4 linked regions of the Macaca mulatta genome follow. The protein of the gene in region 1 purifies or fractionates together with the protein of each later gene. This does not show direct contact. Links are inferred from orthologs where the notes say so. Each region holds a gene or a part of one and is shown in the gene's direction. Other genes may lie near its edges. The genes, in order: KRAS, PRDX1, HNRNPA0 and C1QBP.

The links.
Region 2: the proteins of KRAS (region 1) and PRDX1 purify together in Homo sapiens (affinity purification with mass spectrometry; 3 studies listed by BioGRID and IntAct, with this or other methods). This does not show direct contact. The link is inferred for Macaca mulatta from reciprocal best matches to the Homo sapiens genes KRAS and PRDX1.
Region 3: the proteins of KRAS (region 1) and HNRNPA0 purify together in Homo sapiens (affinity purification with mass spectrometry; 3 studies listed by BioGRID and IntAct, with this or other methods). This does not show direct contact. The link is inferred for Macaca mulatta from reciprocal best matches to the Homo sapiens genes KRAS and HNRNPA0.
Region 4: the proteins of KRAS (region 1) and C1QBP purify together in Homo sapiens (affinity purification with mass spectrometry; 3 studies listed by BioGRID and IntAct, with this or other methods). This does not show direct contact. The link is inferred for Macaca mulatta from reciprocal best matches to the Homo sapiens genes KRAS and C1QBP.

Annotation. Positions count from the first base shown.
Region 1 is NC_133416.1:27,585,488-27,592,841, reverse strand, and holds part of KRAS (GTPase KRas), read left to right. Parts: exon of another isoform or gene 1-22; intron 23-4,910; 5' UTR 4,911-4,922; coding exon 4,923-5,033; intron 5,034-7,354. UniProt on the Homo sapiens protein: Ras proteins bind GDP/GTP and possess intrinsic GTPase activity. Plays an important role in the regulation of cell proliferation.
Region 2 is NC_133406.1:195,089,615-195,097,400, forward strand, and holds the start of PRDX1 (peroxiredoxin-1), read left to right. Parts: upstream 1-2,675; 5' UTR 2,676-2,742; intron 2,743-5,691; 5' UTR 5,692-5,702; coding exon 5,703-5,808; intron 5,809-7,786. UniProt on the Homo sapiens protein: Thiol-specific peroxidase that catalyzes the reduction of hydrogen peroxide and organic hydroperoxides to water and alcohols, respectively.
Region 3 is NC_133411.1:146,601,794-146,609,274, reverse strand, and holds HNRNPA0 (heterogeneous nuclear ribonucleoprotein A0), read left to right. Parts: upstream 1-3,599; 5' UTR 3,600-3,768; coding exon 3,769-4,680; 3' UTR 4,681-5,351; downstream 5,352-7,481. UniProt on the Homo sapiens protein: mRNA-binding component of ribonucleosomes. Specifically binds AU-rich element (ARE)-containing mRNAs. Involved in post-transcriptional regulation of cytokines mRNAs.
Region 4 is NC_133421.1:6,933,496-6,939,623, reverse strand, and holds the end of C1QBP (complement component 1 Q subcomponent-binding protein, mitochondrial), read left to right. Parts: intron 1-1,315; coding exon 1,316-1,409; intron 1,410-1,773; exon of another isoform or gene 1,774-1,885; intron 1,886-2,524; exon of another isoform or gene 2,525-2,668; intron 2,669-3,262; coding exon 3,263-3,358; intron 3,359-3,612; coding exon 3,613-3,735; intron 3,736-3,870; coding exon 3,871-4,020; 3' UTR 4,021-4,252; downstream 4,253-6,128.

The DNA of each region.
Region 1 (7,354 bases):
ATTTGGCATCTCTAGGACGAAGGTATAAACTTCTCCCTCGAGCTCAGGATGGACGGATAGTGGTCCTTTTCCGTGTGTAGGGGATGTGTGAGTAAGAGGCGAGGTCACGTTTTGGAAGAGCGTAGGAAAGTGCTTAGAGACCACTGTTGGAGGTTATTGTGTTTGGAAAAAAATGCATCTGCCTCCGAGTTCCTGACTGCTCCCCTCCCCCATGTATGGGCTGTGACATTGCTGTGGCCACAAAGGAGGAGGTGGAGGTAGAGATGGTGGAAGAACAGGTGGCCAACACCCTACACGTAGAACCTGTGACCTACAGTGAAAAGGAAAAAGTTAATCCCAGAAGGTCTGTTTTGCTTGGTCAAGTTAAACCCCGAAGAAAACCCGCAGAGCAGAAGCAAGGCTTTTTTCTTGCTAGTTGAGTGTAGACAGCAATAGCAAAAATAGTACTTGAAGTTTAATTTACCTGTTCTTGTCCTTCCCCTTATTTCTTATGTATTACTCTCATCCCTTATTTCTTCTATAATATCCTCATTTTGCAGATGTGTTCTACATCTCACGAGTTATTACAGTACTCCAAAACAGCACTTAACGTGATTTTTTTACATGATTTTTTAAACTTACAGAGGAATTGTAGCAATCCACCAGCTAACCGCCTGAAATAGACTTAAACATGTGCATCTCCTTTTTTATTTTTTATTTTTTTGAGATGGAGCCTCGCTCTGTCGCCCAGGCTGGAGTGCAATGGCGTGGTCTCGGCTCGCTGAAACCTCTGCCTCCAGGGTTCAAGCGATTCTCCTGCCTCAGCCTCCTGAGTAGCTGGGACTACAGGCGCCCGCCACCGTGCCCAACTAATTTTTGTATTTTTAGTTGAGAAGGGGTTTCACCATGTTGGCCAGGATGGTCTCCATCTGCTCTGTTGCCCAGGCTGGAGTGCAGTGGCGCCGTCTCGGCTCACTGCCACCTTCGCCTCCTGGGTTCAAGCAATCCTCCTGCTTCAGCCTCCCGAATAACTGGGTTTATAGGTGTCTGCCACCATGCCCGGCTAATTTTTTGTATTTTTCATAGAGACAGGGGTGTCACCATATTGTCCAGGCTGGTCTCGAACTCCTGACCTCGTGATCCGCCCACCTCGGCCTCCCAAAGTGCCTTATGCATCTTCTAGCTGAAGTCTAAGCCTTCTTAAATCTTGAGTTCTATCAAAACAGAAAGGTTTTCTAATTGTTATACAAAATATACGTTATGTTTATAATAGCATTTAAAAACTAAGTGATAAAGGGGAAAGGTCTATTTGTAATTATCAGCTCAGAATTAACCATATAACTGGTGTCACTGAAGTGACTAAGGTCCAAAATGCTGACTCCTACATGTGATAGACTACAGATACCAAATATGGTTGCTAACATTAGTTTACTTTGAGACTGTAGCCATACACAGTGTACTTGCTTTTAAGAGATGGTGGATGGTAATTCCGTTTTATGACAAATAAAAATGAATTTTCTTCCATAACAAAATTGTTGGATTTGAGTCCAGTCCACTCCTTATTAGCTTTTCTAACTGTGAGTAAGGGAGCTCCTCCCAGCCCATGATCTTCATTTGATAAGACTACTTTGGAGCCCAGTTCTCTCTAGTGGATTTAAATGTGACTTGGTTTTAAAAATCTCATTCAAAGAATTTTTTTTTTTTTTCTGGAAACAACCACCGCATAAACAAGTAAACCAGAAGATATATGTGGCTGTGAATTCGTACATATACACAAACTCTAATCCAGTGTCTGTCCACAGTATTTACTAGGCTGGTAAACTTTTTGGCCTTAAGGACCCGTCTACGCTCTTTCTTTTTTTTGAGAGAGTGAGTCTCACTCTGTCACCCAGGCCAGAATGCAGTGGCGCTATCTCGGCTCACTACCACCTCCGACTCCCAGGCTCAAGCGATTCTCCCGCCTCAGCCTCCCGTGTAGCCGGGATTACAGGCTCCCGTCACCGGGCTAATTTTTGTGTTTTTAGATACGGGATTTCACCATGTTGGCCAGGCTGGTCTCGGCCTCCTGACCTCAGGTGATCCGCCCGCCTAAACCTGCCAAAGTGTTGGGATTACAGGCGTGAGCCGCCATACCGGGCCTACACTCTTAGAAATTATTATTGAAGGGGCCGGGCAAATTGGCTCTTGCTTGTAATCCCTGAGGCAAGAGGATCGCTTGAGGCCAGGAGTTGGAGACCAGCGTGCTCAACGTAGTGAGACCTTGTTATAAAGAAAAAAAAATTGAGAATTAAAAAAACCTTTGATTTGTGTGGGGTTTATTAATATTTATCATATTGGAAATTAAAACAATTTTTTTAAAATGTATTAATTCATTTAAAAATAGAAATAATAAGCCCATTACTTAGTAACATGAATAAAATATTTTATGAAAAATAACTATTTTCCAAAACAAAACCAAAACTTAGAAGAGTGGTGTCGTTTCACACTTTGGTAAATCTCTTTAATGATGTGGCTTAATAGAAGACATGGATTCTTATATCTGCATCTGCATTCAATCTATTATGATCACACATCTGGAAAACTTGTGAATGAATGGGAGTGAAAAGGGTAAAGGACATCTTAATGTTACTATGAAAACAGTTTTCACCTCTTGCATACCAGAAAAGTCTTAGTAACCTGAGGGGTTCCTAGACCACCTTTTGAGAACTGTTTTAGGCTATGCAAACTGGTTGGGGGGAGGTTGGGATAGGCAGAGAGCTAGAGGATACATTTTAGTGTAATTCTCCTCATCCATTCCTAATTGCTTTGGCCTACATTTGAAATAAAGCATGGAGGCAAATAGGATAAGATATATGTTTGTAGTGGTTGTTAACTGACCCTAGACAAGCAGCCAGTAAGTCTAGGTAGAACAGAGTAAGGCGGGGAACTGTACTGTGACTGTGTGTGACACAATTTTTCTAGCCTGTGGTGCTTTTTGAGGCAGGGCTTAGGAGTAAGGTTAGTATGTTATCATTTGGAAAACCAAATTATTATTTTTGGTTTTCAGTAAATAGGATACGGTGTATATTTAGTGGTTTTTTTTCTTTTTTCTTTTTTTGAGACGGAGTCTTGCTGTGTCGCCCAGGCTGGAGTGCAGTGGCATGATCTTGGCTCACTGCAAGCTCTGCCTCCTGAGTTCACACCGTTCTCCTGCCTCAACCTCCCGAGTAGCTGAGACTACAGGTGCCCGCCACCACGCCTGGCTGATTTTTTTGTGTTTTTAGTAGAGACGGCATTTCACTGTGTTAGCCAGGATGGTCTTGATCTCCTGACTTTGTGATCCACCCACCTCGGCCTCCCAAAGTACTGGGATTACAGGCGTGAGCCGCCACGCCCGGCCTATTTAGTGTTTATCTACAATACATGCACATTCATTATATGGAGCTACTCATCCATAATAAATAATTGTGCATTTACTCCCGTTTTTTCCTGCATTTCTCTCCTTATTTGTAATTATGTGTTACATGAGGGAAAGGAGATGAAATTAAACATTCATATTTTTTCAAAAAATTTGAAACAACTGACTAGAAACTATATTTTATTTTCTGTGTGGTGCTTGTTATACAAGTTGTCAGTATTCATGCACCTGTGGGGAGACAGTGTAGGAAAAGCAAAGAGTAACAGTCATGTGGATTACTGAGACATATTCACTTGCATCTCTTAACAACTGTTTTACTAAAAACAGTGTTTATCTCTAATCTTTTTGTTTGTTTGTTTTGAGGCAGAGTCTTACTCTGTCACCCAGTCTGGAGTGCAGTGGCTCCATCTCAGCTAACTGCAACCTCCGCCTCCCGGGTTCAAGCGATTCTCCTTCCTCAGCCTCCTGAGTAGCTGGGACTACAGGAGAGCGCCACCACGCCTGACTAATTTTTGTATTTTTGGTAGAGATGGGGTTTCACCATATTGGCCAGGCTGGTGTTGAACTCCTGGCCTCAGGTGATCCACCCGCCGTGGCCTCCGAAAGTGCTGGGATTACAGGCATGAGCCACTGCACCTGGCTTTCTAATCTTTATCTTTTTGTGTGCAGCAGTGATACAGGATTATGTATTGTGATTGATGATCACATCACCTGGACTGAATAGTTAATTTGGAGTTCTCTTAGTTTTTACCTTTATTTTCCCCAGAGATTTTTTTTTTTTTTTTTTTTTTGAGACGGAGTCTTGCTCTGTCACCAGAATGGAGTGCAGTGGTGCGATCTCAGCTCACTGCAACCTCCGACTTCTATTTTCCCCAGAGATATTTCACACATTAAAATGTCATCAAATATTGTTCTTCTGCCTTAGTGTTTAAATTTTTATTTCCCCATGACACAATCCAACTTTGATACTCATTCTCCCAACCCTCATCTGATTCTTACTGTTAATACTTATCCAAGAGAGTTACTGCCATGATGCTTTAAAAGTTTTTCTGTAGCTGTTGCATAGTGACTTCTAACTCTTAGAGGTGGGGGTTCACTTGGAGAACTAACAATAGGAGTGGAGATAGCTGTCAGCAACTTTTGTGAGGGCGTGTCTACAGGGTGTAGAGGACTGTTCTAGACACTTGCATGAGTGAAGTCATGATCCTTTGAGAGCCTTTAGCCGCTGCAGAACAGCAGTGTGGCTGTTTAGATACAACAACTTGAATTTAAAGATAAAAGAACTATCTATGCAGCAGTTAGGTATTTTTCTTAAACGTTGATGGAGGAGTTTGTAAATGAAGTACAGTTCATTACAATACACATCTGTAGTCAACTGGAATTTTCATGATTGAATTTTGTAAGGTATTTTGAAATAACTTTTCATATAAAGGTGAGTTTGTATTAAAAGGTACTGATGGAGTATTTGATAGTGTATTAACCTCATGTGTGACATGTTCTAATTTAGTCACATTTTCCTTATTTTTATTATAAGGCCTGCTGAAAAATGACTGAATATAAACTTGTGGTAGTTGGAGCTGGTGGCGTAGGCAAGAGTGCCTTGACGATACAGCTAATTCAGAATCATTTTGTGGACGAATATGATCCAACAATAGAGGTAAATCTTGTTTTAATATTATGCGTATTACTGGTGCAGGACCATTCTTTGGTACAAATAAACGTTTCTCTGACCATTTTCATGAGTACTTATTACAAGATAATTATACTGAAAGTTACTTTAAGTTTTCTGAAATGTACCTTGGGTTTCAAGTTATATGTAACCATTAATATGAGAGCTTTCCTTTCCTTGGGAGTATGTCAGGGTCCATGATGTTCACTCTCTGTGCATTTTGCTTGGAAGTATATTTCAGCGTTTTGTGAGAGGGTAGAAATTTGTATCCTATCTGTACCTGAAAGGCAATCTTTTTAATGTAACTTTTATTTTTATGGGTTTCTTGGTATTATGACATCATATGTAAAGGTTAGATTTAATTGTACTAGTGAAATGTAATTGTTTGATGGTTGAGTTTTTTAAACTTCATTAGCAGTATTTTCCTATCTTCTTCTCAACATTAGAGAACCTACGACTACCTGATAAATTTTAAAAAATGAATTCTTTGCCTAAGGTGTGATTTATATAAAGATGCTATTACCAACTTTACGTTTGCTTTGTTGTCATTTTTAAATTTACTCAAGGAAATGCTAGAATTAAAAAAAAAATTCCTTGACTAAATTTAAATTATTATGTTTTGAGGATTATTTTCAGCTTTTTTTAGTTTAATGAAAAGTAACCAAAGTAAAGGCCAGCAGCAGAATAAGTAAAGACCTGTAAGAGACCTTGAGAGGTCAGGTAGTAGAATTCCCTTCCATCCCAAGCAGATGAGGATTTATTTAATCTCAGAGACCTGCAGGAGGGGACATTCCCCAACTGTCCTTGTTAACCCATTTTCAGAACATACTTATTAGCATATTTCACACGTAATTTGAATCTTCATGTTAAATTTAACATCAGTGGAGATGGAAAATAAGCATATCACCTTGTCTTTGAAATAGCCCTATATTGTAAGATTATTTCTGAGGCTTCTTTACCCTTGATTAAGCAGTCCTAATCCTTTAGCATTTATTCTACATCTGATGTACTAGTTTAAAAAAATTGGCTCTGAAAAATTTCTGAGAACTTTCTTGAAGTCCCAAGCTGTGAAATCTAGAACAGGTCAAAGTGCCCTATTAAGGTACTGTACTGTGTAATGTCTTGAAGAAACACTTTGCACTGGGGCAAGTTCTGAGGGCATTGGTGGCCTTGGGAAGATGTGTATGCAGTTTAGAACCTGGAGAATTGATTAGATAACTAATCATAGGGAAATGTCACTTATTTTTGGTACTATAAAAAAGTGAAGAAATAATGCCTATTTGCAAAGATTTGATTTAAACATAGAAACAACTTTATTTGGCTTCCAATTCTGAGAATTTACAACAGTAAAGGGGAACAGTCTAATTGAAGTAGACTGCCTATGCAGTAGTCTCTGTATATTTACTTTTGACAAGTTAATTCAATGTATACTACAGTTTTGTTTGTTTCTTTGAGGAGGTTTGAATAGTACACCCATTTCAATCTGTATTGCAAATTCAGGGTTACTTGGCAGACTCTACTATTTAAATCAGATGTAAAAGGAAGTTTTAATAGAATTCACTTTATGCATGAAAGTTTTCCTGGGATTTTGGAAGGTAGTTTTACTGGAAATGCTCTCTGTCTTTCCTGAAAATCTGAGAAATTCCATTACACTTTGTTTCCAATCAGAGGTCATGAATGCTATATGAGTGTATATATAGCATGACGTCATGAATATGATAAAGTGGGTTAGGACACCTTTTGCTAACGATTGTTAAAATGCAATATAAATCTTGAAGAAACAAAGCTAACAGTTAAGACTTTATTTGTGGGGAAGGTTGAAAAAGTTTATAAACTTAAACCTATAACTCTGATTATGATTTCTGCCAAACCAGAAGACTTGACTGTGGGAAGCATTGATTACCTGTGAACTTTGAAACTGACGGTCCCTGACGTAGTTTAGTCACCTGGGAAAAGGTATCTGAGATTATCTGTTATCTCCCAAGTTACAGTGAGTCTCTGAGGGAACTGACGTATTACATTAAATTCTTGGTGTAAACTGTAGGAGAGGCAAGAGAACTTAGTAGTTTAATAGTTGGCCGAATGGAAATGCTGACTCCATGTTATTGTAAAAAATTAAAAATTTAGGAGGATATGGGGATTTCACTGCCATTGTAGGTTTTGATTGGTATTCACCAATCAGTGTGGGTCAGAGAGAAAATTAGAAAGGATATGACTGCACATTTTGGAATTATTAGCAGTTTTTCTACATTTAAGATGGAAATACATTTTTTAAAAATTTAAATCAAATAATACTATATTTTTTGGTG
Region 2 (7,786 bases), on another chromosome or scaffold:
TTTTTTTTGTATTTTTTATTAGAGACGGGGTTTCACCGTGTTATCCAGGATGGTCTCGATCTCCTGACCTCGTGATCCGCCCGTCTCGGCCTCCCAAAGTGCTGGGATTACAGGCTTGAGCCACCGCGCCCGACCGGAGTTTCACTCTTGTTGTCCAGGCTGGAGTGCAATGGCGCTATCTCAGCTCACTGCAACCTCTGCCTCCCCGGTTCAAGCAATTCTCCTGCCTAAGCTTCCCGAGTAGCTGGGATTACAGGCATGTGCCACCACACTCGGCTAATTTTGTATTTTTAGTAGAAACGGGGTTGCTCCACATTGGTCAGGCTGGTCTCGAACTCCTGACCTCAGGTAATCCACCTGCTTCAGCCTCCCAAAGTGCTGGGATTACAGGCATGAGCCACTGCGCCCGGCCCTGATAGTGAGAAGTTTTTTGTTTTTTTTTTTTTTTTTTTTTTTGAGACTGAGTCTGGCTCTGTCGCCCAGGCTGGAGTGCAGTGGCCGGATCTCAGCTCACTGCAAGCTCCGCCTCCCGGGTTTACGCCATTCTCCTGCCTCAGCCTCCGGTGTAGCTGGGACCACAGGCGCCCGCCACCTCGCCCGGCTAGTTTTTTGTATTTTTTAGTAGAGACGGGGTTTCACCGTGTTAGCCAGGATGGTCTCGATCTCCTGACCTTGTGATCCGCCCGTCTCAGCCTCCCAAAGTGCTGGGATTACAGGCTTGAGCCACCGTGCCCGGCTGAGAAGTTTTAACTCAGTAAATTGACTACAGAGCCTCAGCTTTTATTTATTTATTTTTATTTTTATTTTCTTTTTAAATTTTATTTTATTATTTCTTTCTTTAGCCCCAGCTTTTAAACCACAAATAAGAGTGACATGATCAGATTTCAGAAAAATTTCCTTCGGCTGCAGTGGAAAGGATGGATAAGAGATAGTGTTAATCGAAATGAGTGACTAAACAGACTAAACCATGTCACAGACACTTCTGTGGCTGCTTCTTCCCAAGAGGTTCTCAGGAGGTTTTTAGCATTTATACATTTTCTTTGAAAAGTGGGGGTGGGAAAGTGAGGCGAAGACTTTAGCTAATGCTCAGTAAATCTACATTTTGTTTTTTGAGACGGAGTCTTGCTCTGTTGCCAGGCTGGAGTGCAGTGGTGATCTCGGCTCACTGCAACCTCTGCCTCCAGGTTCAAGCGATTCCCCTGCCTCAGCCTCCCGAGTAGCTGGGACTACAGGCGCGCCACCGCGCCCAGCTAATTTTCTGTATTTTAGTAGAGACGGGGTTTTACCATGTTGACCAGGATGGTATCAAACTCCTGACCTTATGATCCGCCCCCTCCTCGGCGGCCTAAATCTACATTTTTACACAAGATAAGGTGAATGTTTGAGGAAAATGGGAATAGCGGAAGAAAACAATTGTGTGATGGACTCAGGGTAATCTAGTAGTAAGGTACTACTAGAAAGGTAGAAAGTAGTCTAGTAGAAAGGTAATATAGTAGTCAACATTTATGGAATTTGTGGAATAGAGGCCAGGTGAGGTGGCTCGCGCCTATATTCGTAGCACTTTGGGAGGACAAGGTGGGTGAATCACCTGAGGTCAGGCGTTGGAGGCCAGCCTAGCCAACAGGATGAAACCCCGTCTCTACTAAAAATATAAAAAATTAGCTGGGCATGGTGGTGCGTGCCTGTAGTCCCAGATACTCCGGAGGCTAGGCGGGAGAATCGCTTGAGCCCGGGAGGTGGAGGTTGCAGTAAGCCTACACCGTGCCACTGCACTACAGCCTGGGCGACAGGGTGAGTGAGACTCGTCTCAAAAAAAATGTGGAATACAACAAACTTTCGTTTTAGGAACTAGACTTTAGATTGCAGATCTAGTTACAATTGACACGTCCTTGTTTTATGGGAGGCTACATACTTTAAAGGTTTCCAGGGTAGCAAATAATTGTGATTTTGTGTATGTGTGTTTGTGGGGGGTAGTCATCAGGAAGTGTCTGAGGCCTTTTGCCTTACTGTGTAGGTCTGGCTAATGTGTAATATTTTGACTCAAGATTGTAAAGTCAAGTTATTCATCCGGGGAAAGGATGGTCGTGTAGCTGAATCAGCGTCCTAAACTGAACTTTCCCTTTGGCATAAGTTTAGGAGTCCTGATATTTTATTTTGCTTTACAACAGAAAGCAGCAACCCTGTAATCAAAGAGAACAATGAAGGAAGCTATCTAACCCATGAGGGTTACTGAGGATCTGCGCTGGGGTTAAGGCTGCTTAACTTAAGAAATATTCGGACAGACAGTTCTCATGGCTTGGTGTGGTTAGACGTGGTCATCCGTGGGCAGCAGCTAGGACGCTTACTCCGGTTTGGGCATTAAGGGCACAGTGCGTAGTGGTCCTGGAAGTAAAGGGAATCCTGGTTTTTCGCAGAGACCTTGGATTAACCTAAGCGTTTGGGTTTGGGAGCGGCCACAAGAGCGCCTCACTCCAGCCTCAGCCATCCGCAGCAGGGAGAGGTATTAGTATTTCCGCGCCCGCCCCCACGAGGAAAAGCGCCGAGTCATTCCGGTGGGGCGCGCCGGGCGGGGCTCGGGCCACATCCCCCTCCTCTTTCTTCTCTTCCAGAACCCCTGGTCCGCTCCGACTCTCGCGAGAGCCCTACTGGCTATAAAGGCAGCGCCCCGGGCGGATTTTGCGCGTTTTGTTCTTGCCTGTTTTGTTCTTCCGTGGTGTTGATCTGTGAGTTGTGTTAGGACTGGTGAGTGTGGGCAGCGCGGCCTCTGCGGAGTGAGGCGCGGCGCGCCTTTCTTGTCTGTTGCCTCTTCCTTCTCCTGTCCGGGGCTCGCCCGCCCTTGGGTGGGGGTACTGTGATGCGTGAGGCGGCCGGGGGAGACCCGGAGCCCGAGACTGCCTGAGCGCTACGCGCACCCCTCTCATGGGCCCCCCACGTAGGTGCGGGGACGTGGGACCCCAAGGCTAGCGTGGACTCGAGTCGAGTCGTTCCCCGGCAACTTGAGCACGTGGCGCGGCGTCTGGGCGGGCTGGTGGTGGGGTCTCCAAGACTAGCCTCCTGTCGGGCGGGGTGGGTTCGGGAAGCTTCTGGAATGGACCTGTATCCGGACTCGTGGCTGTAGAAGACAGCCTGTATTTTTGTCCATCTTGTGATAGGGTAAATGCTGTTCCGGGTCCTGAGCCTTGACTAGCTGCGGAGCTTCGGGTACCCTTTCCCCGTCTTTATTTTCCTGTACGTGGAATGGAGTTAGTGATGAGCCCAAATGTCCCCGCTGAAGCACTCTTTCTGCTGGTACTTTACACAGTGCTGGGGAGGGACAGGGGTACCTGAAGTGGGGTTCAGGGGTGTGGCCCTCGGCACTGGGCAGATCCCCTGAAGGGGCCCGGCGCCGGCCTGAAGCAGCCTTTACCCCGAATTGGTTGGGTTTGGTACTTGGGAGCCACCTGGGAAAGTAGGATGGGACGAGAAGGCCATTTGGGGACACCAAGTTGCAGCATGCATTAGTTTCTGGTTTTTGTTTTTTGTCGTTAAAGGTGTTAAGGACTTTTTAAAAAACAGTTTTTAAAGAACTTTAGGACTTGGAAAAACTTTTAGACTGCGGCTCAGTGGGTTAAAACTCTGTTTTTTTTTTTGAGAGAGTCTCGCTCTGTCGGCCAGGCTGGAGTAGCAGTGGTGCGGTCTCGGCTTACTGGGACAACCTCTGTCTGCCGAACTCAAGCAATTCTCCTCCCTCAGTCTCGCGAGTAGCTGGAATTACAGGCGTGTGCCACCAAGCCCCGGCAAATTTTTGCTGTTTTTCTTTTCTTTTTTTTTGAGATGGAGTCTCGCTTTGTCGCCCAGGCTGGAGTGCAGTGGTGCGATCTCGGCTCACTGCAAGCTCCGCCTCGCGGGTTCAGCCATTCTCCTGCATCAGCTCCTGAGTAGCTGGAACTGCAGACGCCGGTCACCACGCCCGGCTAATTTTTTTTTTTTTTTTGTAGTTGTAGTAGAGACGGGGTTTCACCATGTTGGCCAGGCCTGTCGCGAACTTTTTTTTTTTTTTTTTTTGAGACGGAGTCTTGCTCTGTCTCCTAGGCTGGAGTGCAGTGGCGGGATCTCGGCTCACTGCAGCCTCCATCTCCCGGTTTCAAGTGATTCTCCTGCCTCAGCCTCCGGAGTAGCTGGGACTACGGGCGCGTGCCACCACACCCGGCTAACTTTTTGTATTTTTGTTAGAGACGGGGTTTAACTATGTTGGCCGGGCTATTCTCGAACTCCTGACTTGAGGTGATCTGCCTGTCTCAGCTACCAAAGTGCTGGCATTACAGGCCAAGATCTCGATGCTTATCTTGGTGTTGATCTGGGTGAATCCTGCGCAACCTTCCTTTTCAGAAGTAAATTGATTCTTGTTCTACTTCTTTTCGCCCTGGGATATTAGCCCAGAAGTCAGGAACCCATTTGTGAAGGGACTTCTAGGGCTTACACAATACCTAAAGATTTGAAATTAAGCAGACGCCAATATCTTGGTCTTCCCGCGCCCCCCCCCCCCACCGGCTTTTTTTTTTCTTCACTGTATGGCCCAGAGTGAAAAGTCTCACTCTGTCGCCCAGGCTGCAGTGCAGTGGTGTGATCTTGCCTTACTGCAACCTCTGCCTCCCGGGTTCAAGCGATTCACCTGCTTCAGCAGCCTCCTGAGTAGTTGCGATTACAGGCATGCACCACCACTCTCGGCTAATTTTTGTATTTTTAGTAGAGACAGGGTTTCACCATGTTGGCCAGACTGGTCTTGAACTCCTGACCTTGTGATCCGCCTGCCTCGGCCTTCGGAAGTGCTGGGATTACAGGTGTGAGCCACCGCGCCCAGTGGTCTTGCCTCTTAAAAGTTGGACTGGCTGGAAGGGTGCGGTGGCTCACACCTGTAATCCCAGCATTTTGGGAGGCTGAGTTGGGCGATCACCTGAGGTGAGGAGTTCGAGACCAGCCTGACCAACATGGAGAAACCCTTTCTCTAATAAAACTACAAAAAAATTAGCCGGGTGTAGTGGCTAGCGCCTGTAATCCCAGATACTCCGGAGGCTGAGGCAGGAGAATCACTTGAACCCTAGAGGTGGAGGTTGCGGTGAGCCGAGATAGCGCCATTGCACTCCAGCCTGGGCCCCAAGAGCGAAACTCCGTCCAAAAAAAATAAAATAAAACAAGTTGTGTTAGTTATAGGTCGACCGTGTGCTGTCTTTGACAAAGCTACCTGGAGAAAAGTCAAATATGCTTCTGACGTTATTAAGGCAGGTGGAGGCACAGTAATGGGAAAGGTCAACATGACTATGAGCCAAACAAAAGTGTTTGTGGCATTGTGCATTCGGATTCTGGTTTGAGAGTCTTCACCTGCCTCCCTCTCTGCTTCTGTCTAATGAATAAGATGCCACTGCACTAATTATGGTTCAGAAAGAGTGAGAGGTTTTCTTAGTATATAAAGAAATTGCCTTGTCGTTTTTAAATGAAAACAAAGGCTGAGATTCAGAGACTTGTTTTGTTTCAAAAGCTCTGATTGTGACCCTTGACTGCTGGCCTGAGCTTCTTACTAAAATAACATTTAATGTATTCAGGGACACTGGACAATGCCTTGATTGTTCTACAGCTAAGTCTCTTAAGTAGGTGAAGGCTGCTGGTTATCTAGAAAATTAAGGCTTGTTTCTAATTAATTTCTGTTATTTCTAGCTAATAGGAAGATGTCTTCAGGAAATGCTAAAATTGGGCACCCTGCCCCCAACTTCAAAGCCACAGCCGTTATGCCAGATGGTCAGTTTAAAGATATCAGCCTGTCTGACTACAAAGGTAAGAGAATTTACACTGGGCTCATTGAGATGGGGTTATTTTATATTCTAGGGATGGCTTGTTAGATTTGTGTCAGTGTTATGTTTGACTGTAAAACGTTTTGTCTCCTAGAAAGAAGTATTTAGGTTGTTACCTTCATGTTGAAGTAGTGATTATCAAGTGATTACAGGGTATATATCCTAGGACCAAACCACTTCTGGAGAAACCACATGCTTCATTATGTCTGGACATACTAGCTCAATTATCTTTTTAGTATTCCTCCTCTATTTTCTTTATTTATTTTTATTTTTGAGACAGGGTCTCATTCTGTCACCCAGGCTGGAGTGCAGTGGTGCAGTCATGGCTCACTGCAGCCTCTACCTCTCTGGACTCAGGCGATCCTCCCACCTCAGCCTCCCAAGTAGCTGGGACTGTAGGGGCATGCCACCATGCCCGGCTAATTTTTGTGTTTTTTGTAGAGATGGGCACCATCTCCAACTCCTGGGCTCAAGCCCTCTACCTGCCCCAGCCTTTCAAAGTGCTGGGATAACAGGTGTGAGCTACTGCATCTGGCCCTCCTCTATTTTATTATTGGAGAAATTCACATTATCTCTTGTTTTGTTTTGTTTTGTTTTTGAGACGGAGTCTCGCTCTGTCGCCCAGGCTGGAGTGCAGTGGCCGGATCTCAGCTCACTGCAAGCTCTGCCTCCCAGGTTTACGCCATTCTCCTGCCTCAGCCTCCCGAGTAGCGGGGACTACAGGCACCTGCCACCTCGCCCGGCTAGTTTTTTTGTATTTTTTAGTAGAGACGGGGTTTCACCGTGTTAGTCAGGATGGTCTCGATCTCCTGACCTCGTGATCCGCCCGCCTCGGCCTCCCAAAGTGCTGGGATTACAGGCTTGAGCCACCGCGCCCGGCTATCTCTTGTTATAAGAGACATTCTACATTTAAAGTCTCAGAACTCACTCAACTCTTTGGAGCTGTGACACTGCTTGTTCATTTGGGTCACATATATATTACAGTTGTTAATATTAAGCTGAGGGCTAGGCACTTTCCCTTGCCTGTTTTGACCCCAGAGGAGAGTTGATATTACAGATGGAACAACTCTCCTTTCTGTTGTCATAGTTTCATGCAGACACTTGGCAAGTTCTGTTGAGGCTCCTCCTTCCTTTACCTTGTAGTCCCAGAGCAGCTGGATCTCCTGGGACAGTTGAGGATATAGATTCCTTAGAATGCAAACCTGAAACTCAGGTGTCAAGTGTCCTTTTCTCAGTGGTGTAGCATCAGTTTCTGAAGTTAGTTTTTGCTAGAACATTTGACTAGGTTTCCTGACATAATCACAGTTTGTTGATGGGGCTTCTCCTAGCAAACAAGGTAAGTTGCACCGTAGGGAGGTGACCTTGGCCCAGGAGTATAAGCAGGAGGTCTAGGAGCAGCTGCTCTCTGCCCTCCAGGGTTTGACCTGCTGAGGCCCCATGGTGCTTGTTAGGCAAATCCCTGCAGGGGTTGTTTAGATGAGTTAGTTTCCAGTGATACTGCAAAGTGGTAATGTCTAAAAGGGCTGCTTGTTTGACTTTTTTTTTTTTTTGAGATGGAATTTTGCTCTTGTTGCATAGGCTGTAGTGCAGTGGCATGGTCTTGGGTCACTGCGACCTCCATCTCCCCAGTTCAAGTGATTCTCCTGGCTCAGCCTCCCGAGTAGCTGGGATTTCAGGCCCCCGCTATCACGCCCAGCTAATTTTTGTATTTTTAGTAGAGACACGTTTCACCATGTTGGTCAGGCTGGTCTTGAACTCCTGACCTCAGGTGATCCACCTGCCTCGGCCTACCAAAATGCTGGAATTACAGACATGAGCCACCATGCCAGGCTGAGCCACCACACCCAGCCTATTTGACTTTGCAAACATTGCTGCTACCTGGAAATGAGTGAATATTTGGAATTGTTCTGGTATTTAAGCCTGGTGGGTGTGGTGAAAAGGCTAGGCTGCCTGACCAGTTT
Region 3 (7,481 bases), on another chromosome or scaffold:
TATTTCATTGAATCTTATGATGCAATAATAATAGAAATAAAGTGCACAATAAATGTAATGCACTTGAATCATCCTGAAACCACATCCTGGTCTGTGGAAAAATTGTTTTCATGAAATAGGCCGTTGGTGCCAGAAAGGTTGGGCACTGCTGGTAAACTATTATTTAAAAACAATGTAGACAAAAACTATCTACTAAAATTGTAAATTCCTAAAGTAACAGTTTTCGTAAGTTATGGTCTTTATTCCTTCGGAAGTTCATCTTTTACTGGTTTAAGATTTGGATGACTCTAAAACAGTGGTGCCATCTCCGCTAACAGTAGCGTCTGCCTCCTGCATTCAAGCAATTCTCCTGCTTCAGCCTCCCAAGTAGCTGGGATTACGGCATGTGCCACCACCCATGGGGTTTCAATTTGTTGGCCATGCTGGTCTTGAACTCCTGACCTCAAGTGATCTGCCTGCCTCAGCCCCCCACAGTGCTGGGATTACAGGCATGAGCCACTGTGCCCAGCCCATTTTCCCTTTTCTTTATTATCAATAGGCAAATCCTGACATTTGAATTTTTTTTTTTTTGTAATAACATGGTTAATAGCTTTCTCCTGTCCTCTTTCGTTTTTTTTCCAATGTATCACTATCTAACATGCCATATACCACTCTTGTTTATTGTCTGCTTCTTCCCACTAGAATGTAAGCATCATGAGGGCACAGGTTTTTGTCTGTTGTTTACAGCCATATTGCCACCACCAGGCATAGGATTCATATAATTGGACAAACTGAGCACTTACTATGTGCCAGGCATGTATACATGTAGAATCTCTTTAATTTTCACTACAACAGAAAGATGTTTTACTATTCCCATTTTAAGATAATAAAACTGATTACATTTTTAAAAAGGTTAAGTAACTTGCCCAAAGTCACATAACTGGACGGTTACAGGGTAAGTGATAGACCAGACGAGTTTACCCTCAAACTTTAGTCCATCTATTTACCTTTGTTACAATATCCCCCTAACTACTTAACCTAAGATTCAACACATTCCATAGTATCATTTCATAGTATCAAAGACCCTCAACCTGTCTTACCTCTTACTGTTTTCTATCTAAAACTGCCTGCTCCTCTCAAACTAACTGGTCCACTCCCTGTCTCTTGAAGCTTATGTTCCCTCTGGATTTTGCTCAAGTAAACTCCATATAGAAATCTTTTTTTTTTCCTTTCCAATTTTTAATTTTAGGTTCAAGGGATACGTGTGGAGGTTTGTTATGTGGGTAAATTGTCTTGGGGGTTTGGTGTATAGATAATTTTGTCACCCAAGTCACCAGCATAATACCTCATAGGTAGTTTTTCAGTCCTCACCCTCCTCCCACCCGCCATCCTTAAAAAAGACCTAATGTTCCCTTCTTTTGTGTCCATATGTACTCAATGTGTAGCTCCCACTTATAAGTGAGAACTTGTGGTATTTGGTTTTCTGTTCCAGCCTTAATTTGTTTAGGATACTAACTAGTCTTTGGCTCTGAGGTTCAGTGCAACTTCCAATTCTTTCCTAAATCTTTCCTGAATACTTGAGGATACGGTGAGGAATTCCTCTTAACTTCTTCAGTATTTACCATATAGTTTTGGAGGCTTTTGGTCACGTAATGCCTCATATTAACTATGTCCCACCCCATGTATCTTGCTGGGCACACAAAGGCTCAATAAATGGAAGCCGTTGTAATTTTCTTCCATTCCCATCTGAGTGAGGGCACTAAAAGCAGTGACTTAGGGCTATATGATCTCTCTTTCTCTCTGTAAAACGTTCGTCTAACCAACACCTTTAAAAAGCTAACATTCTACTTTTAGGAGGCCGAGGCGGGAGGATCACTAGGTCACGAGTTTGAGACCAGTCCGGCCAACATGTTCACCCTGTCTCTACTAAAAAATACACACATTAGTCAGGCGTGGTGGTGCGTGCCTGTAGTCCCAGCTACTCGGGAGGCTGAGGCAGGAGAATCGCTTGAACCTGGGAGGCAGAGGTTGCAGTAAACCAAGATCGTGCCGTAGCACTCCAGCTTGGGCGAGACTCCGTCTCAAAAAAACAAAAAGCAAAACAAAACACAAAAAACAAGCAAAGCTAACATTCTAGGCCAGGCGCGGTGGCTAACGCCTGTAACCCAGCACTTTGGGAGGCCGAGGCAGATGGATCACCTGAAGTCAGGAGTTCCAGACCAGCCTGACCAACATGGTGAAACCCCATCTCTACTAAAATACAAAAATCAGCCGGGCATGGTGGTGGGCGCCTGTAATCTCAGCTACTCAGGAGACTGAGGCAGGAGAACAGCTTGAACCCAGGAGGCGGAGGCTGCTGAGCCGAGATTGCCCCACTGCACTCCAGCCTCGGCAACAAAAGTGAAACTCATCTCAAAAAAAAACAAAAACAAAAACAAAAAACTAACATTCTAGTTGAAAGAAAGCAACACATGGATGATGTAAATTACACATAAAAACCCATTCACTGAGGTTAAATGAAAATTTTGGAGTATGCCAAGGGGACCTGAAAGGGCCTCCTTCTGAGAGGGCGTCGTGGGAGGGCTTCAAGGATGGCGGGATGGTGGCAGGGATGTCGCGCCTCGTCTGGTTCGTAATGTCTGAAGCTCTTTGGTTCCGTTGTCTTTCACACCGCCGCCTCGGGCTCGCTTTTGCGCAGGGCCACGTGGCAGAGTTTTAGTTTAACCGCATGTCGGCCCACCGTAAACGGTTAATAACCGCCTTCGTGGACCAGGCCTCTGCCCTCCATCTTTGTGCGGGCGGGAGGTGGGGCGGGGACGCCAGGTGTAGCGGACAAGCGGAAAGGCGGCGGGTAGATCCGGGCCCCCAACCCCAACGTCAAGTTTTCAAAAAGCCCGCGCATGGCGCCCCAGGCCGCATCCGCTGGGAATGGCCCCCAGCGCGCCTCCTGCTCTCTCCCCTGCAAAGCCCTGGGCTGCAGAAGGCGAGGGGGTGGCAGACAGGTTCTGCACGCTGGGGGCGCCGGGGCAAGCGCGCACCGGGGAGCGCGCCCGTCCAACAGCTGCCGAAAACGGAAGTGGGTGCGAGGGGATCACGGTGATTGGCTGAACTGACATGTCTCTCAAGGGGCTGGCGCGAACGCCACTGCGGAGTTGGGCGCGGAGATGAGGAAAGGGGAGGGGGAGAAACACTGGGAACAGCCGCAGTGCTAGGAGGAAATGAATCGCGGCGGTGCGCGGAGGGCAGGGAGGGACCCATGTCAAGGGACAATAGGGCGCTCGGGAATGAAAGCGGGTTGGCAGAAGGGGAGGCGGGAGCGGCACAGGCCGCGGGCTTGAATAGACCGCGGAGGGCGGGGAGTCCGTGATCTAGAGCGGCGCTGCGGCGCGGTAGGCGGGATTAAGGGGAGCGAGGCGGGGATTGGAGGGCAGCCCTAGGCTGCCGTACGTCGGCGGTGACGCACGCCTCGGGGAGGGTGCGCGCGCGTTCAGCGGCCTCTTTGTGTGGTGCCCAGATAGGGGAGCGGAGGTGGCGGCGGCGGTAGCGGTGGCCTTGGTTGTCTTCCAGTCTCCTCGGCTCGCCCTTTCGCCGGCACCGCTCCCCTTCCCTCCCCCTTCCTTTCTTCCTTCCTTCCCTCCCCTTCCCTTTTTCCCTTCCCTGTCGGTGACCGGCGGGGGTGGCTCCAGCAGCGGCTGGGCCCAAGCTGTGTAGAGGCCTTAACCAACGATAACGGCGGCGACGGCGAAACCTCGGAGCTCGCAGGGCGGGGGCAAGGCCCGAGCCTTGGAGATGGAGAATTCCCAGTTGTGTAAGCTGTTCATCGGCGGCCTCAATGTGCAGACGAGTGAGTCGGGCCTGCGCGGCCACTTTGAGGCCTTTGGGACTCTGACGGACTGCGTGGTGGTGGTGAATCCCCAGACCAAGCGCTCCCGTTGCTTTGGCTTCGTGACCTACTCCAATGTGGAGGAGGCCGACGCCGCCATGGCCGCCTCGCCCCATGCCGTGGACGGCAACACTGTGGAGCTGAAGCGGGCGGTGTCCCGGGAGGATTCGGCGCGGCCCGGTGCCCACGCCAAGGTTAAGAAGCTCTTTGTCGGCGGCCTTAAGGGAGACGTGGCTGAGGGCGACCTGATCGAGCACTTCTCGCAGTTTGGCACCGTGGAAAAGGCCGAGATTATTGCCGACAAGCAGTCCGGCAAGAAGCGTGGATTCGGCTTCGTGTATTTTCAGAATCACGACGCGGCAGACAAGGCCGCGGTGGTCAAGTTCCATCCGATTCAGGGCCATCGCGTGGAGGTGAAGAAGGCAGTCCCCAAGGAGGATATCTACTCCGGTGGGGGTGGAGGCGGCTCCCGATCCTCCCGGGGCGGCCGAGGCGGCCGGGGGCGCGGCGGTGGTCGAGACCAGAACGGCCTTTCCAAGGGCGGCGGCGGCGGTTACAACAGCTACGGTGGTTACGGCGGCGGCGGTGGCGGCGGCTACAATGCTTACGGAGGCGGCGGCGGCGGTTCGTCCTACGGTGGGAGCGACTACGGTAACGGCTTCGGCGGCTTCGGCAGCTACAGTCAGCATCAGTCCTCTTACGGGCCCATGAAGAGCGGCGGCGGCGGCGGAGGCAGCAGCTGGGGCGGTCGCAGTAATAGTGGACCTTACAGAGGCGGCTATGGAGGTGGGGGTGGCTATGGAGGGAGCTCCTTCTAAAAGAAAATTTAAAATGCCTGGGAGTGGCTATTGGGGTAGCTCTTTTCAAAAACCCAAGTGGGGTCAACTCCTAAGCCCCACCCCCTCACACCCACACCACCGCCTTCCCTGTTTTGCCCTTGGGGGAGCCACTTCTAAGGCTGCTTACCCTTGGGGGTGTTCCTCTATTTGCCTGCCACCTCTCTTGTCTCTCCCTCTGAAGATGGACTCGGCCCCACATACACATTTTTGTGTTACAGTCATTGATGGACTCTATTTTTTTATTATTACTTGGACCTTGGTCGTTTTTATACTAGCAAAATGTCTTGTTTTAATTTGTGTTTTTTGGGGGGAGGGAGGGAGTGAACTTGCTGATTCTGTAGCAAAACCTGGGCGGGGGTTGGGGTGGGGGGTAGTTTACTTTGTTGTAAGGACTTGATAACCTGGCTACAGCGTTTTCTATGAAATCTACTTGGATCCCATGCCTGAAATTTGGAAGCATATGTACAAAAATCATTTTTACGTTTTATTTTTAATAAATCATTGTGTTTGACCGTACATGTCTAACATTTCTTTTCTAGGATCCATTCCGTACCGTTTTTAAGGGATATTTGTTTAAGACTTTACGTGTTAATTCTTTATTCTTGATGTGTACTTAGAGAAACTTAAGAGGTCCTGTGGTCCCCCCCCCCGCCCCCCGTTGCCCTGCTAGTTGCGTGTTGAATTATATCCCCTACAGGCAAAACTTTTGAAGTGGTGGATGTGGCTTTTTAAACTCTTAAGTTTCTGTGCATCCATCTCTTGTACTAAGCGATTTGCTTACCATCTTGACATGGTTGGTCATTTCTATGACAATTTACTTCAAACTGTGTACTGTGTAGTTCTATATAGTTTGTGTTAAGCATGTCATTCATATAAACTGTTTAAAATTTTTCAGATGGCCTAGTTTCATCCCTCTTACTGGTTTATCTGTAATGAATGGTTAAAAATGAGGGTTATATTTTACCCTCAGATGCGTTTTTGTACTTTCAGAGCAGGTTTAAACGGTTTTTTTCCCCCTCTATATCTGAACTGTTGTCCTCATGGAAATCCTTTTCCCGATCTTTGTAGCACCACCTACTGGCAGAATGGCAGAGTAGCTGCGAAACAATTTGTTTAAAAACTTGCTTAGGACAATTGCATCAGATATAGAAGTTTTGCCATCAGAATTCTTTGCAGACTTGGAAGTTACACGTTTGCTTGTAACTGAGATGGGCTTCACAGGAATGTAGTTGCCAGTTCATATCACAATTGCCCTTTCTATATGAGGTTTGAAAATGTAAACTGCTATGCATAGCTTGGGCAATAGCCCTAAATTGCTATGACAACTAATGAACCAGCTACGTATACTGGTATTTTAGGTGCAAGTTGTAAAGCAAAATATCTGTGTATTCTGCTTGGTTAACAAATGTATATTTGTAGCCCTTTCATGCAATAGCATTCAAGTTGTTGTTTATAAGAGAAGAAAAAACTGATAATAGGAGAAAATTGCCTTTCTGAATAGAAATATAGAATAGCAACGTTTATGGATATCACAAATAAAGAATTCAATTCTTTACATGATTGAGTGAGAGTATGTATAACCTGGTGGGTGGGTTCAGAGTACCTTTTAATCTAGTGTGCTTAACTTGATGTTATGATAATATTTAACTTAAATATTTGACTTAAATATTGATGTTGAAGGCTCAAAGCTATACTAAGAAACTTTCTGAAAGATTATTGGGCTTTAAAATAAAATAATATTTTAATATTGAACCATTTTTTAACTTTTTGTCACTGTTCAATTCCTAAAGGTCTAGTTCTTGCCAGATTTTTTTTTTTTTTCTGATTGACAGGACTTTTAAAGAAGTATGAAGAAAGGTTAAGATTATTAGGCTAAGTTATGGCTGCTCAGTAGTCACTTTGACAAAGGGTAGCGGATGCTTGGTACAAATAGTGTTATATCCTCTGACAAATGGGGTGAATGTTTTTGCACATTGATGTGATTAACACATAGTCAAATCCTTTGCTCTCAAATCTACAGTTTCCATACATTTCTGTCTTTTTTTTAATTCTAGTGATATACAAATTACATGTGGGCTACTTCATTTGGTAATTTGGTCCAACTTTTTGTTGGCTGTAGAGTGGCCTCTAGGATACAGAAAATGATTCTGAGATTTTTCGTTGCAATTGTTAAATACTACTCTGCTTGACTTACTCAGTTTTGGTGGGAAGACCTGGGTCAATTGGAATAGTAGTTCACCTTTCTCAGGGTTTTCAGTTTAATAAGGTTATTGTCATTTTATATTCCCAACATGGGAATATAGTGGCTTCTAAAGTTTGCAATTGAATTATGTAATAGGATTTTCTGTTTATTAGGAAGGCAGCCTATCCTGTTCATGGTATATTAACACTTCATTGTCATGTGTCTACCCTTAAAATTGCTATAAACTGTAGTGAAGAAAAAAGCATAGTGGTATTTAGTCACTTCTGGGTTCCTCTTGTCACTTTATATGCAAAAGCATTTTGGCATGTGGGACTTGGGGAGGACGGACAACTGGTTGTATGTTTTGACCCCTTCCACCTATGAGAATTATCTGAACATTATTCAGATTTAAGAGTTCATGGGAGCAGGTGGTACAGAACCTAGTGTTGAATATAATTTTCGTGCTATGCTTGAATGTATTTTGACGGATTAGCAAAATAAAAGTGAACCTCCTATTTTTAATCCTATTTTTCATCTTAATGTGAAGAATTTTTGCATTTACATTCTTTTAAAAGTCTAAATGCAGTAGTCTTTAGTT
Region 4 (6,128 bases), on another chromosome or scaffold:
GCAAGTATTGTTCCCCATCTTGTGGGTTTTCTTTTCACTTTCTTTGTAATGCCCTCTGACACAAAAGTTTCTGATTTTGAGGAAGTTCAGTTTACCTATTTTTTTGGTTGCTTGTGCTTTTTTTAGTGTCACATCTAAGAAACCACTGCCTCGCCCAAGGTTGTGAAGATTTATGCCTTAATTTTTTCAGAGTTTTCTAGTTTTAGCTCTTAGTTGAGGTCTGTGATTCATTTTGAGTATGATGTGAAGTAGGGTACCAATTCTCTTGGCTATTGTGTAGTGTGGTTTTTCCCTACACAGGTCAATTGTGTCTTCTGTAATCTCACCTAAAAACCATTTGCACAAGGTTTTCATAGCTATTTGGGGGCCATTAAAAATAATGCTCTGACGAACATCATTCCATTTCTGTGCCCAGGAGCTCAGCTTGGTCAGCACAGTTGGAATCAGACAGATTGTGTCAACCTCAGACTGCCTCTGTTACTATGGAAAGGTGACTTCCTGGCAAAGCAGCTAGTTAGCACAAGTCGAGGGGGCGGTACTTCATGGAACTTGTATGGAACGGTGCCTGCCAGAGTTGCATAGTCCAGCAGTTCTGGTTCTAAACTTTATCTCCCAGGAATTTTGACTCAAACTTTGGGACATGATTTGTCAGGTGTGGATTCTTGCACCTTAAAATTGTCGCTAGTTGGTGTCTCTGGCCTGCTTTGTGATGATAAAACTTCCCACAAGTACTCTGAAGGATGACTGTCTACTACAGCCGTTTTTTTCTTTGTGAGGCATCCCCTTCCCGAGGCCAGGGCTGCTCTCCGTGTTTAACAGATGCAACCCTCCATTGCTCCTTCTTCCTTTCCTTGCAGGGCAAATTTTCTTATGGGGAAAGGCTCTTAAAGGGGCTTCTGTTCCATCTCACCAGCCTCCCAGGTCCTTACTTTCACCAAGGGTTCCTTGGAAAGACCAGGGTGGGCAGTGTCAGCTGGCTGTGGCCATGAGATGCCCAGTCAACACATGGCAGTGAGCCCTGGGGTACTGGCCCTGTTGGGAGTAACCCATGCATGACTTGTTTGGCTGAGATAAGCTGAGGCCAGCTTTGGCTTCCAGCAGCTGGTACATGGTAGGCACACTTGAGACCTGCTGAATCACTCAGGACTGGATGTAGGTACCAGCCTTGTTTGAAGTTCTGCATATAATTCAGCCAGCTAGGATAGAGACATTGTTTCAGTACACCTTTGTAACTGTAGCAGACCTCCCTGTTTGTGTGTTAACCTACTCAGTTAAAATGATGCCTTGTCTGTTATGTTTTCTCTTGCCCTTTTAGAATCATTGTCACTTTCAACATTAACAACAGCATCCCACCAACATTTGATGGTGAGGAGGAACCCACGCAAAAGCAGAAGGTTGAAGAACAGGAGGTAAGCTTAACACTATGATCAGCTTTTACCTCAGTTCTGACAGGCTGTCCCTGGGACTTAAAGAAGGAGCGTTTTTCTTTGTTCTTTAAAAAAAAAAAAATTTTTTTTTCCTCTAAGGCCAGGCACGTGGCTCACGCCTGAATCCCAGCACTTTGGGAGGGCAAGGTAGAAAGATCCCTTGAGGCCAGGAGGACCAGCCTGAGTAACATGGCAAGACCCTGCCTCTACGAAAGTTTAAAAAAAAACAAATTAGCTGGGCATGGTGGCACGACTGTGGTTCCAGCTATGCAGGAGGCTGAGGCAGGAGGAATCAGTGGTTTCTGGCCAGCTTTAACAGGACTGTGGCCCTCTTCCTTTTCCCAGGGGCAAAATACGTTGCTGTCTGCCAGCTCAGGCTTAGTGGTTTGGCTGGAAAGGAAATGAAATGTTCTCAGCCTTTCCCATGATAGGGAGTTTTGTTGTTTTTGAGAGAAGGTCTCGCTCCATTGCCCAGGCTGGAGTGCAGTGGCACGATCTCTGCCCACTGCAGCTTCCACCTCCCACGTTCAAGCGATTCCCCTACCTCAGCCTCCCCAGTAGCTGGGATTACAGACATGTGCCACCACACCTGGTTAATATTTGTATTTTTAGTAGAGACAGGGTTTCACCGTGGTTGCCAGGCTGGCCTCAAACTCCTGACCTCAAGTGATCCAGCCACCTTGGCCTCCCAAAGTGCCGGGATTATGGGCGTGAGCCACCACGCCCGGCCTATGGGGAGATTTTTTATATTGGAGGTTATCATTTGGTGTGTTTGCATGTGTGGAATGTTCCTAACATATCAGTCACAAGCTGGTAATACACAACAGCCATTTAACCAAGATAAGAATGCCAGGGGCAGGCTAGGTGTGGTGGCTCAAGCCTGTAATCCCAGCACTTTGGGAGTCCGAGATGGGCAGATCACAAGGTCAAGAGATCGAGACCATCCTGGCCAACATGGTGAAACCCCATCTCTACTAAAAATACAAAACTTAGTTGGGTGTGGTGGCAGGCGCCTATAGCCCCAGCTACTCAGGAGGCTGAGGCAGAATTGCTTGAACCCGGGAGGCGGAGGTTGCGATGAGCCGAGATCACACCACTGCACTCCAGCCTGGCAACAGAGCAACACTCTGCCTCGAAGAAAAAAAAAAAAAAGAATGCCAGGGGCATAAGAGACTTTAACTGGATCATGCCTACTCTTCAGACATTTTAGGAAGTGCTGTGCCCAGCCTGGTAACCAGCCAGTACGAGGGCCACAGAGTCCCTAGACCTTCTGCCCAAAAGCCATCAGTACAGTGTTGGGTCATGACCTGGTGTGGATGGCACAGCTCTCTGGTGTGCTTCTTTCCCAGCAACCCCAACTAGCATCTCTCTGACATTGGACCCAGTCTGCTCCCAGAGCTCCACATCAGAGGAAAAGCTGCTGCTGTTATTCAGCCATAAAGATGGCCAGGTTCCCCAGCCTTTGACCCTGGTCCCTTTTGAAGACTCCTGGAACAGTCAAGCTGGAATCTTGAAACTTTAGGAAAGCTTTGCAGTGTATGGGTGGAGGAAAAGGCTTGGAATGTTAAGGAACTGATATAAACTCAGTTAATTGGCACATAGCTGAGGCGGCTGGTATCCAGATTTCTTAATTGAAAATCCAGTGTGTTACTTAAACAAGCAGGGTGCCAACAGAAGTGAGATCAAGCTCTTCATTTGGGAATAGTATGGCATAAGACTATTAAAATGGCTACATAACATCCTAATGGTGGCTCTGAGAAATCTGAACAGAGATCCTTGATCCAGGCATCCATCTCCTTCCAGCAGTGGCATGTACTGACTTCTTGTTTTCCCAGCCTGAACTGACATCAACTCCCAATTTCGTGGTTGAAGTTATAAAGAATGATGGCAAGAAGGCCCTTGTGCTGGACTGTCATTATCCAGAGGATGAGGTATGTAGGATGGAGTGCTAGCCCCTTGGCACCCCTGGGGAGCACAGCGTGTCCCTTGGGAACTTCCTGTCCCTTTTAGCATAAATTTAAAGACTTTCTAGCTTAGACCAGCCCAGCAGGGGGAGAGGGGAGGGGAGTGAGGGAAGAGGGTTAAAACCTGATCAGTTTCATGCTGTCAGCAGCCCCCTTTCTTCGCATGAGTCTGGCTTATCCTGGAGAACCCTTCAGTTTCCCCAAATATTGTTTCTTCTCAGGTTGGACAAGAAGACGAGGCTGAGAGTGACATCTTCTCTATCAGGGAAGTTAGCTTTCAGTCCAGTGGCGAGTCTGAATGGAAGGATACTAATTACACACTCAACACAGATTCCTTGGACTGGGTGAGTGCTTGATAAGATGGGGGAACCTTTTGGGCCGTGGAAGGAAGGGTCCTAGTTCAAGGGGAGAAAGAAACATTTTAATGTTCATTACAGATTTTTTTTTGTTTTTAAACTAGTAAATGTTGTTCTTTGCAGGCCTTATATGACCACCTAATGGATTTCCTTGCGGACCGAGGGGTGGACAACACTTTTGCAGATGAGTTGGTGGAGCTCAGCACAGCCCTGGAGCACCAGGAGTACATTAGTTTTCTTGAAGACCTCAAGAGATTTGTCAAGAGCCAGTAGAGCAGACAGACGCTGAAAGCCTTAGTTTCATGGCAGGCTCTGGCCAGTGAACAAGTCCTACTCTGAAGCTAGACATGTGCTTTGAAATGATTATCGTCCTAATATCATGGGGAAAAACACCAAATTTAAATTATATGTTTTGCGCTCTCATTATCATTTTTCCTGTACAAATCTATTATTTCTAGATTTTTGTATAACATGATAGACATAAAATTGGTTTATCTCCTCCAAAGCAGTGTATCTATTCTATTCCTCCCGCTTCAACCTGCGTCACAAAAGACCAAGAACAGAGATGTCGGAAAAGTTTTTTTTCCTTCAGGATCGGTTAAAAGTTTCGATACAAAATAAGTTATAAATAAAAGGCTTGTATGTACAAGGCTCCTCAGGGAGTGAGTGGTCTTCAACCCGTAGAATGATGTGAGTCCACGCTGGCTCTAGAGGATCACAGCCCAGGTATCACAGGCCTAGGTTTAAACAGGAGAAGAATTAGCTTAAATTGTATTCTAGTCATGAAAGACATGTGATACATCGTTAAAAGTTGTAATCAATGAGAATGCTACACATTAGATGAGGTCTCCTGAGTCTAGTTTGAATTAGTTAGGTCGTGTAATTTGTCATGAAGGCCACCGACGACTGCCCCTCTTTGGCTTTGCTGGACCTCTGTCCTGCAGCCTTCAAACAGCTGTCTGGAAACCGTCAGCACCAACAGTCTTCAAGCTAAGATCAAATCTGCAGATGAACTAATCAAACATCCTCACCTCAGGAAACTACTGACCACAAAGATTGTATGATTGTATTCAAACTCTTGGTAGCTTGGAGCTTTTAGAGCCTAGCAGGAAGATGAGACTCCAAGTCTACACAAGATTGAAGCAGGTGCGTATCACAGGGGAGGTACCAACCATGCATGATCAGTACGGGCAGAAAACATGTCTTCCCCTCGATCTGTAATATGATCAGTAAGCACCTAAGTGTAAAACTGGCTCCCGACTCCTTGGTGGCTCAGCCCCTCCACTATGCTAAGGAATCATCTGTCCTTGAGCCATTTATGCCAGAGGTTGCAATTTTTTTGTGTGAAAAATCAGACCTCGGCGATGACCTTGAGCAGTAGGGGATCAATAACTCCCCCAGGCTTAGCGTTCCACTAACAAAACAGTAGGCATAAATAGGTTACCCTTGTTTCTTACCACTTTCACAGGTAATATATTTGGCTTTCTCTAAAAGACACTATAACCCTGCTAATAGGTGGTTTAGCATATTCTATCCCATGACCACCACCTGAGCACCGTCACATCCAAAATATTCCTAAGTCTTGTAATATAGTGCCATCTTCTGTAACCCATCCCTATTTTCCAACACATCCTCAGTCATCTGTGCTGAGCCTCCCTACATCCTGACTTCACTGAATTCTAACACAATGGTCCTTGAGTCCCCCTTAAGCGAAAACCAAAGGTCTAGTGGAACTAGAGCATTCCAAATGTCTACTTTTCCAAATGTTGAACTCGGAACCTACAGAATACAATTTTGTCTTTCCCCTTCCTGTTTCTTGTTTTTTGTTTTTGTTTTTTTGAGGCTCAATCTCGCTGTCACCCAGGCTGGAGCGCAATGGCGCCATCTCAGCTCACTGCAACCTCCACCTCCTGAGCTCAAGCCATCCTCCCACTTCAGCCTCCCACTGAGTAGCTGGGAGTACAGGTGCGAGCCACCAGGCCCAGCTAATTTTTGTATTTTTAGTAGAGACCAGGTTTCACCATGTTGTCCAGGCTGGTCTTGAATTCCTAGCCTCAAGTGATCCATCCACCTCAGCCTTCCTAAGTGCTGGGATTACAGGTGTGAACCACAGCGCCTGGCTGTGTTTCTCGTGTTTTCTGTGAACCCCGCCTCCCTCACCCCTTACTTACCCAACAATGGTCTCCCTGCCCGCCCCAGAGCCAGCACTGACAACTATGATCTCCAAGACTGCTACACAGCACTCACCTTCCAAACCTCACCTCCCACTTAGCTTCACTGCTGCTCTGAGCCACAGGACACTGACGGTTAGGTGAGTGGATAACTGGGGTCCATAATTATATGCTGAGCTGAAGCTGTACACATGGCAATTAGGCAATCTT